2 linked regions of the Arabidopsis thaliana genome follow. The protein of the gene in region 1 interacts with the protein of each later gene in a pairwise test. Each region holds a gene or a part of one and is shown in the gene's direction. Other genes may lie near its edges.

What was found. Proteins that work in one complex are often made in the same cells at the same time.
Region 2: the proteins of AT1G64625 (region 1) and AT5G50010 interact in a two-hybrid assay, tested with the Arabidopsis thaliana proteins (one large-scale study listed by BioGRID).

The regions. Positions count from the first base shown.
Region 1 is NC_003070.9:24,014,963-24,019,990, forward strand, and holds AT1G64625 (Serine/threonine-protein kinase WNK (With No Lysine)-like protein), read left to right. Parts: upstream 1-1,693; 5' UTR 1,694-1,915; coding exon 1,916-2,010; intron 2,011-2,196; coding exon 2,197-2,286; intron 2,287-2,379; coding exon 2,380-2,443; intron 2,444-2,583; coding exon 2,584-2,625; intron 2,626-2,684; coding exon 2,685-2,774; intron 2,775-2,850; coding exon 2,851-3,627; intron 3,628-3,720; coding exon 3,721-3,822; coding exon of another isoform or gene 3,823-3,867; exon of another isoform or gene 3,868-3,895; coding exon 3,896-4,219; 3' UTR 4,220-4,309; downstream 4,310-5,028. Other genes in the region: WNK10 (with no lysine (K) kinase 10), read left to right, coding at 4,958-5,008. UniProt on the Arabidopsis thaliana protein: Transcription factor that may regulate root development.
Region 2 is NC_003076.8:20,346,468-20,351,428, forward strand, and holds AT5G50010 (transcription factor bHLH145), read left to right. Parts: upstream 1-2,147; 5' UTR 2,148-2,216; intron 2,217-2,365; 5' UTR 2,366-2,763; intron 2,764-2,874; 5' UTR 2,875-2,971; intron 2,972-3,069; 5' UTR 3,070-3,088; coding exon 3,089-4,024; 3' UTR 4,025-4,363; downstream 4,364-4,961. Other genes in the region: AT5G50020 (DHHC-type zinc finger family protein), read left to right, coding at 4,743-4,774.

The DNA.
Region 1 (5,028 bases):
GATGCCGTTGACTTTTGTTCTCAACGGCCATGATTGAGCGTGTGATGAGTATAAGAGACCAAATTATGGCTATTTCTAATAACCCCAAAAAATAAATTGATTGATGAGTTTTTCTTCATTTGATATGTAATTATAATCACTTATTCCATTTCAAGATTTGTGGATATCTATTGATATTCTCTACCACTATCAAGAAGCTAAAAGTGTATTAAGTGCATGTACATTAGCTTAGGCCGAGAAGTTTTTTTTTTTTTTTTTTAAAGGTGATGTATTTGTGGCACTTAGGCTTAGGCATGTAATGTGTGGTGTGAGATGTTGCGCGACTTGCGAGTAACAAAAATGGGTCTCAAATATTGAGGCATGTATTTCTAACGTTTGCTATATATGCCTTTGATGTTCTCTAAATTCTATTTTATATCGTATTTCCATAGTAATATTCAGTAAAATCATGAAATTCGAAGGTTGATATCAGAGTTTATATAGTATAAAGTTTTAAGATATAAATAATCCATTGAAAACTCAAAACATAGGTACAAAATAGCACCATGTACAAATAAATAGCTAAAATAAAGTAATAAAGTAACAAATTAAAACACGTTTAATACTATTCATGAACTAATGTTCAAGTCTATTTAACATTCACATTTTTCCTTGCTTGTGATCTTCTATATAAACTTAAAATTAAACATGCATGGTTTCCTGATAATAATAAGATGTTTAGTTATATTAAAGAAAAAAGATAGTAGCTCTCAAGACTTAAGGCGGAAGCATAACCTTATTTTTTTTAGGTTGGTACCACAAGAGACCACAACTAAACATTTGGATGAATATAGGTATAACAAATCTCTTATGATATGTATATATCTGGCTTATATATGAATGCATACTCTACGAATGTATGTGACTGCTGACGACATTGGTGTTAGACTGTTGATATAATTATATGAGGCAGTGGATCGAGATTTGAGAACTACTTAAGTCAAGATTATCATACCGAGAATTCAAGATTTAGGTGACACATATTTTGGGAACCTCATTGGCCCATACACTAAAGAGGCGGTCATTCTTTCTTTATAACTCTAAACCATATTTTCCAACCAAAAACGGTCGATGTTAAGCTTTAATATGATGTTCAAGATATAGGATACGAGGGAGAAGATGATCGCTAGAAACTCCACAGCACCATTTATCTTCCTCTGTTGTGGGGATCACATTCTCCTCATTTTTATTTTTCCATTGCACCAGTTTCCACTATAGAAATTTTCATCAAATGTTAGTTAATTAATCATATCTAAATATATTGAATACTATTAAAGTATATCATAAATTCGTATCGAGTATTTAATGAATCGATGATAAAAAGTAAAATCAAAATAAAATCTCCCTTTATGGAAATTATACCCTCGAAGATCCTCTCCCGTCCTAAATTTTTCAAAAGACAACAAATAAATATATAGTAATCAAAGCAAACTTTTTCACTAAACCGGCAATAGCCGGTGTAATTCACGTCACTTCCGGGACAAAAGCGTGACTGGACACCGGCAGACAAATCACATCAAATAAATAATAGTAATATATTTAATTCCTCAGACAAAAAGGCTCTTCCACTTCTTATCGAATTACAAACATTTCATGTTATTGTTTGGTTATATATATAGAGAGACAAAGCTCTTAACTCCTTTTTAATTGCTTGAACAAAAAGCAAAACTCAAAGGAATTTTCTCTGTATTTTTTTCTATCTGCAGAAAATTAAAGAAAAAAAGAGAAAACTCAAAAACCCACATTTTTCCTCTGTTTCCAGCTTTTCTTTATCTTTGGAGTTTGGTTTCTGGAGAAGACAAAAGTTGTTGTCCTTTTTAAGAGTTCGAGATCCTGCAGAAATTAAAAGGGCTCTTCCCGGCTTGGATTCCTAAATATGGGTTCAGAGTATAAGCATATATTGAAGAGTCTCTGTTTAAGCCATGGATGGTCTTATGCTGTGTTTTGGCGTTATGATCCCATCAATTCCATGTAATTTCTCTCTTTTTTCTTTCGAATGTTATATGCATGTTCCTGTCTTGGATAATATTTGCATAAAACTAGTTTTGTTTTCCGTTGATTTAGGCAAAAGACTGAATTGCATATCCTCTGGTTTTATATGTGGCTTCCCTACTTTGGTGTCCATAAATGTAATTTAGTTTTGTTGAATTCCATCAGGATATTGAGATTTGAAGAAGCATACAATGATGAACAATCAGTCGCACTAGTTGATGATATGGTTCTCCAGGCTCCTATCTTAGGCCAAGGGTATGCTTTTACACTTCACTCAAATCTTTTATATATCTGTCTCTGTGTTTGTGTTTATATATCTTCAATATACTTTTCTTTTGATGAAATTAGAATTGTGGGAGAAGTAGCTTCATCCGGAAACCATCAATGGCTGTTCTCAGACACATTGTTTCAGGTTTGTTCACTTCTTTTTCTTGGTGTTTGATTTTTCTCATCTGTGAGCTATAATGTATGTCGAAATATAGTGACTGCATAGAACATTTCATGATGAAGAAGAAAAAAGATTTGATATTCGTGCGTTTGATTGTTTTGCAGTGGGAACATGAGTTTCAGAATCAGTTTCTCTGTGGCTTTAAGGTAATTTATATTTTGTCTTCTCTCCAAGTTTAAGGATTCATATATCCATTTTGAATCAGATTCTTATACGGCAGTTTACTTATACACAGACTATCGCAATCATTCCACTAGGATCCAGCGGCGTTGTTCAGCTAGGATCTACTCAAAAGGTTTGCATATATAATTATATAACAATGTTTTCTTGTTGTGGAAGTCATGGTCTAATTACTTACTATCAATCTTTAGATTCTTGAGAGCACAGAGATATTGGAACAAACAACAAGAGCTCTCCAGGAGACGTGTTTAAAGCCACATGATTCCGGTGATCTCGATACTCTGTTTGAGTCACTGGGAGATTGTGAGATTTTCCCAGCTGAATCTTTTCAAGGATTTAGCTTTGATGACATCTTCGCTGAGGACAATCCTCCTTCTTTGCTCAGCCCTGAGATGATCTCCTCTGAAGCAGCTTCTTCCAACCAAGATCTGACCAATGGAGATGATTATGGGTTCGACATTCTCCAGTCTTACTCTCTGGACGATCTATACCAGCTGCTCGCTGATCCACCAGAACAGAACTGCTCTTCCATGGTGATCCAAGGAGTTGACAAGGATCTTTTCGACATTTTGGGGATGAATTCTCAAACGCCTACAATGGCTTTGCCACCTAAAGGACTCTTCTCAGAGCTCATAAGCAGCAGTCTTAGCAACAACACTTGTAGTAGTTCTCTCACGAACGTGCAAGAGTACTCTGGTGTGAACCAGAGCAAAAGACGGAAGCTTGATACATCATCGGCGCATAGCTCAAGCTTGTTCCCTCAGGAGGAGACAGTAACAAGTCGGAGTTTGTGGATTGATGATGATGAGAGATCAAGTATTGGAGGGAACTGGAAGAAGCCTCACGAAGAAGGTGTGAAGAAGAAAAGAGCAAAGGCAGGAGAAAGCAGGAGGCCGAGGCCTAAGGACCGTCAGATGATACAAGACCGTATCAAGGAGTTGCGAGGGATGATTCCAAATGGAGCTAAGGTAAATTGAATAATAATATAGTTTAGTTTAGGGCATCCAAATTATAGATTAACAAATGCATTCTCTAATAAGTTTCGATATATATTTAAACAGTGTAGCATAGATACGTTGCTGGATCTGACCATAAAACACATGGTGTTCATGCAAAGCCTCGCCAAGTATGCAGAGAGACTCAAACAACCATACGAGTCTAAGGTAATGAATCAAATATATCCATTCAGTAAGTACACAAGTGTTTGAGTATTGATGAGTGAATGATGTTTATCAGCTGGTGAAGGAGAAAGAGAGAACATGGGCGTTGGAAGTGGGGGAAGAAGGAGTGGTATGTCCGATAATGGTGGAGGAATTGAACAGGGAAGGAGAAATGCAGATAGAGATGGTGTGTGAGGAAAGAGAGGAGTTCTTGGAGATAGGACAAGTGGTGAGAGGATTGGGATTGAAGATATTGAAAGGAGTGATGGAAACAAGAAAAGGACAAATATGGGCACACTTCATCGTACAGGCAAAGCCACAAGTCACAAGGATTCAAGTCTTGTACTCACTTGTTCAGCTCTTTCAACACCACACCAAACATGATGATTTATTATCATAGTATAATACCTACCACTTTGATTTTCTTTCTTTTTGTTACAACAACAACACAAGAATCTGTTGATAAATAGTAGTAACATTACATCAAAGAAGATTGTATGGGCTCGTGGAAAAAAAAGAAGAAGATTGTATGGGCTTTAAAACATTGACTAAGACAAAGAAAGAAGGCCCATTTAAAGAAAAAAGGAACGTAACGACACCGTTTTGGGTGGATAACAGTTAACTGACTGAATCAGAAAATAGATGCCCGTTATCCTTGACGAGGATAAAGGGGAGACACTGTATATAAATAAAAAGTTGAACAAAGATCAAATCCTCAATCTGTTTTTAGGGTTTCGAGAGAGAGAGAGAAATTGATTTTTGTTGATATTTGTGAAATTTGGTGGCGAAATTGAAGCTTCTTCATCGGTCGTTGTCTAAAAGCAATGGTGGATGGTTGATGAATGGAGGAGATGCTCTTCTTCTTCTATCCAATAACAATAATAAGAGACACGACGCTGACACAAACGCAGAACCATCTCACCACCGTCATCATCTCGGAGATGGCCGCCACACTCCTCTGTTCCCGATCTCGATTCCGATCGGCGATCGACTCCTATTGCTTCGCCCGTGAGGCCTTCTCCGATCCAATCTCCTTCCATCTCCTCACCCTTCTGTAACCACCAATCATCATCCCTCCTTTCTTCTTCTTCTTCTTCTGCTTCCGGATTATTAGTATCATTAGGTTAGAATATCTGCCATGGAAGAGGCTGACTTCGTCCAGAAAGATCCCACTGGTCGCTACATTAGGGTACGACGCTATCTGCAATT
Region 2 (4,961 bases), on another chromosome or scaffold:
GTTTTCCTTTACTCAGAAGGAAATTAAATTTCAATATTCTCTGAAACCCATTACAAAACACGGTCATGCTAGAAGACTTGAAGTCGTGATATGTAGCATTTTTAATGCGTTTTGTGAATATATGTAAACTATATAGATGTTATATAAGTACTCTCGGTCCAACATTTTGGAGCACATTATACTATGATCTTGATATTCAGCCAGTTTATTATGTCATATTTTTCGAGAACATTTGTTGAATTGAAGAACATAAAAGATAGCAAATCAACATCTCATATATGTGTCTTTATCAAAAAAAAACATCTCATATATGTGTATTTTTTTTAACCACGCAAAATGAGAAGAGTGTTATTTTATGTGTATAAAAATGGTGGACCTAGGATATGATGATTGCTTTAGAGACACACAGAAAGAGAGAAACGGTGGAGGGTTTGTTTTGGGCCCCTGACACCATTAAAGCCAGTAAGGATTAAGTGTATCCACTTTTAATTAATCCTAATTTATATACTATACGGATTAGTAATATTATCCTAATGGTTTTTGTATAACTTAAATATTTGGCGTGGTAATATTAAATGTTACTCTGCTTGTATGATTGTGAGCAACCAGATCTCTCTTATCTGTACATCAAAGATTTGGTTCAGGTTACTAAATCATGGGTCTTCTACATCTATCACTATTGAATATAGTTTCAGATGTCTTTGATTGTCAATGAAAAATATCTTGGGTATAATTATTACTAGTCAGTGCCATTTTCTGACAAGAGAGAACGTGTCTGTTTCTTCTGGGGGATTAATTAGGTTTAGATAATTTTGGTATCAAGTTTTATGATTGATAATATACGATTAAGTCATTGGCTAACTAGCTAAAAAAACTTTTTTTGGCTAACTTGGTAATTTTTGGTGATGCAGGTTGTTCATTTGGGTTTCTGTATAGAAATTATCTCCTTTTTTGTCCTTCGAAACTTATCTTACAGTATCTAATATTGAATTTATATTTTCATAATATAAATTATTGTGGATTGGTCATAAATTATGATCTCAATAATAATGTTCTTATGTTATCATTATTTGTTTGTATTTTTATAAGTCAGTGAGTATGACTTGTACCGTTCCTACTTCTATAGTGAAAACGGAAGTCTTATAATGATAATGAAGCTTGTTTTTTTTTCTTAACACTTTAGTATATATAGAAAAATATACATATTTTGGAAGAGATTATAATAAAGAAAAGATGAAGAGCAATCAATTGTCTTGTAGGATTTTCCTTTCTTCTTGTTATATTTATCGTCACATATTTCATCGTTTTTTCACTATAAGTGCAATAGATACATTTTCCACGAAAGTGTTTTGGAGATCCATATGAAAATAGACCAACCAGAATGGGAAGACAAAACATAATGTGAAACCCAAAGAAGATGGAAATGGAGGGTGCAAAAAGGTAAAAAGTAAAAGTAGAAATGATTTGGGGTTTGAACGGTCAAGCCATTGCAAACGAGAGTATTTGAGAAATGATTGGACCTTCTTCTTCTTCACATTGGATACTTTCACTACTTTTCTTACTGACGATGAACGAAAGTACGAAACCAACAAAATACATAAGCGAGCGTCTTATAAAACATGATTGCATGAAGTAAGTATACTTTGGCTTCAAATGGATTTTTTTTTTTGTATAGCTTCATTGATGATCATTTTTATATTATGTGAATGATATTTGTGTTTCGGTGGAATTGAAAGATACTAGATTCCGTTAGCTGAATTTGTTTACATGTGATGAAAAGTGAAAGTCGACTGATTCTTCTTTCCAACCAAAACAAGCTATTTGGCATAATTTATTTTTCCACCAAATGGGCAAATGTATATCTTTTAGCCAAATATAAATAAGCCGAAAAAGCATGTTAACAACAATATGGATTATGAGTATATCTTACTAATTAGTAATTACATCGAGAAAAATAAACAACTATTTAGATTTTGAACCCACCAAATTCAGCTAATTTTCCCAAAAACATTTGTTATCGGATTTGGTAAACACTGTGGCATCACGATACCTAAACTTTAACGCACGCACGCATCTCTGTTATGATGAAGGTCACTTTCGTCTTTTTCTCTTGTATATATCTTCTTCCTCGCTAACTTCTCTTCGCCATCACTGAAACTAATATCTCTCTGCTTCCTCCTTAGAACTTCTATTTGCTTCTCTTGCATTCCACTTTTGTGAGTTTCTATTATCTTCAGTTTTCGAGATAGAACTTATAAACTCTGTAATAATATGCATTGTGCATATTTTTCTAGGTTAAGTTATTTGTTTTAAAGTGTTCTGTTTCTTGCTAGCACTAAATCTATTGCTCTCGTTTATTTTGCAGATTCATTTGAAGTAGTGAGATTGACTCCAGAGATAAAACAAGAAAGAGCAACAAAGCAACAGCATGCGGTGGTGGTTGTGTCTTTCTGCTTATGTTTTTCGTACAGTAGTAGTCTTCTGTCGTGTGATTCTGTAAACTGCGATCTTACTTCAGACATAGCTTTTTTATGTAATGGGGTCGTCTTTTTTCTTCACATTCCCTTACTTTGTCCGCCAAATTATTTAAGACTTCGTTTGGATACTCTGTTTTGGGAGAAGGAATCAGTTGGGGAGAAAGTAGTTATGGTTTGTCAATCAGCGGGACAGACAAGATTTCGTACACTCAAACACGAACACGGTATCACAGGAAACATTGTAGTTAGAGTCATTGCATGCTTTCAACCTCTCCAAGATTGCCAGGTTATTTTCTTGTTTGATGAGTTTATGTTATTGCAATATATTTAGATTTTTAAACCACCAGAACTTTTTTTTATTGATTTCGTTTTAGCTTTGATGTTGTGTATTTTGCAGGCTGAATATTTCCGTCAATTGTTGAAGCCCGTCACGTAGAGTAGCTCGATACTTATCGTTCTTGTTTCAAGCCTAGTTTCTTCTATCCATTTAGTTGGTAAGTTCCAGTCTTTGCACACATAATCTTTTGACCTCCCATTCTTGATTATAAGTAGCTGATTTGTTTGAGATGATGATGTCCTCTGTTTTGGATAGTTGATTTGTTTAGTGTTGGATGGGACAAGATCGTGGGTTTGGGTTTCCTACTCAGCGCTTGTGTTCCTTGTCTTCCCTAGCTCTGTCTCATCTCGGGAAGCAAGACTTGAATTTAGTATCTAAAACCTGCGGCGACACCACCGACATGTTTTCTACTCGTGGATCTTATCAAGTTTCTACCCAAGTCTCTCAATCCTATTTTGATGGGTATTGTGGATGGGTTCATGGGTCATCCCACCTACAGCAGCAGTTCTTGCCTCCTCAAAACCAATGTATGAAGCAAGTACCTCTTCAAGTAGACGGTGTTATATCTAAAGCTGAGGAACAATGTAGTCAGAAGAGGTTCCTAGTGTTTGATCAGTCTGGAGATCAGACGACTTTGCTACTCGCTTCCGATATACGGAAATCTTTTGAGACCCTAAAACAGCATGCCTGTCCTGATATGAAGGAAGAGCTCCAAAGAAGCAACAAAGATTTGTTTGTTTGTCACGGAATGCAAGGAAATAGCGAACCGGATTTGAAGGAGGATTCGGAAGAACTAAATGCATTGCTTTACTCTGAAGATGAGAGTGGTTATTGCTCTGAAGAAGATGAGGTTACAAGCGCAGACCATTCCCCAAGCATTGTAGTATCAGGCCGTGAGGACCAAAAAACATTTCTTGGAAGCTATGGACAACCATTAAATGCTAAAAAGAGAAAGATACTCGAAACCTCGAATGAGAGTATGCGGGACGCTGAATCGAGCTGTGGTAGTTGTGACAACACAAGGATTAGTTTTCTGAAACGTTCTAAGCTGTCTAGTAACAAGATAGGAGAAGAGAAGATATTTGAGACTGTAAGCCTCTTGCGCAGTGTAGTCCCCGGGGAGGAACTGGTGGACCCGATCTTAGTCATCGATAGAGCCATTGATTACCTTAAATCATTGAAGATGGAAGCGAAAAATCGAGAAGCATGAGGTTCTTTGTTTGTAGGATACCTAAGACATATTAGCATTGGCAAGTGGACTTGGTTTCTAAACAAAGTAGTAGACATATTGGACCGTGGTACTCTTGTCAAGCTACAAAGGGATCAGGTTGTTGCTAGTTGGAAGATAAACCAAATAATGTTTCGGAGTTGCAAGAGAAGGAATTGATATTAAAATGCAAATTGAATATTTCATATTAGTTGATGATTAAGATGGATTGCGAAATTTTAATTTCAGTCGTTTAGCTGTTTGTTATATCATGTAGTTGCTTCTTCTTTTTCTATAAGATTTTGTCGGTGTGGTTGTTATTGTTCATCTGTGAGTCGTGTGGCCGAGAGAATCATAAATGGGAAAGTTGAATAACCATTTTCAATGATAGGCCAATTATAATGGTAAACACACAATTAATTTAACTTTTTTACAAATGATTAAAGATGTTTGTTTTCGTGCCAAACAGACATGTGATTTGGTGGGATATTTGGCAGTCTTTTGTCAATATGGTAGCAATTTTTGCCTATTGTTTCATGATTAAGACTCTTATCACTTGTCATTTCCTGACTTTTGTGCATAGAACTAGTGACATGTGATATACTGTAGTCCCATCCAGTTTATAAGTTTTGAATACATGTCTCTAGCCATTCAGAATAAATCTTGCAGCTAAATGTTTTAGAAACCGGACCAGATACCGGTTCATCCCAATTTCAGCCACATGAACGATTCTTGGTCTGCAGGACCGGACCGGTCCGGTTTTTAAAACATTACAAAAATAATTTTATATGCGTAATAAAAAAATGAAGGAACAAAACTGTAATGTTCGTCTCGGGAGACACAATCCAGAAACGAAACGCCTTTTGTGAGAGAGAGAAGAGAAGAGAAGAGAAGAGAAGAGAAGAGAAGAGATCGCACCACACAAAAACTACAATTTTGT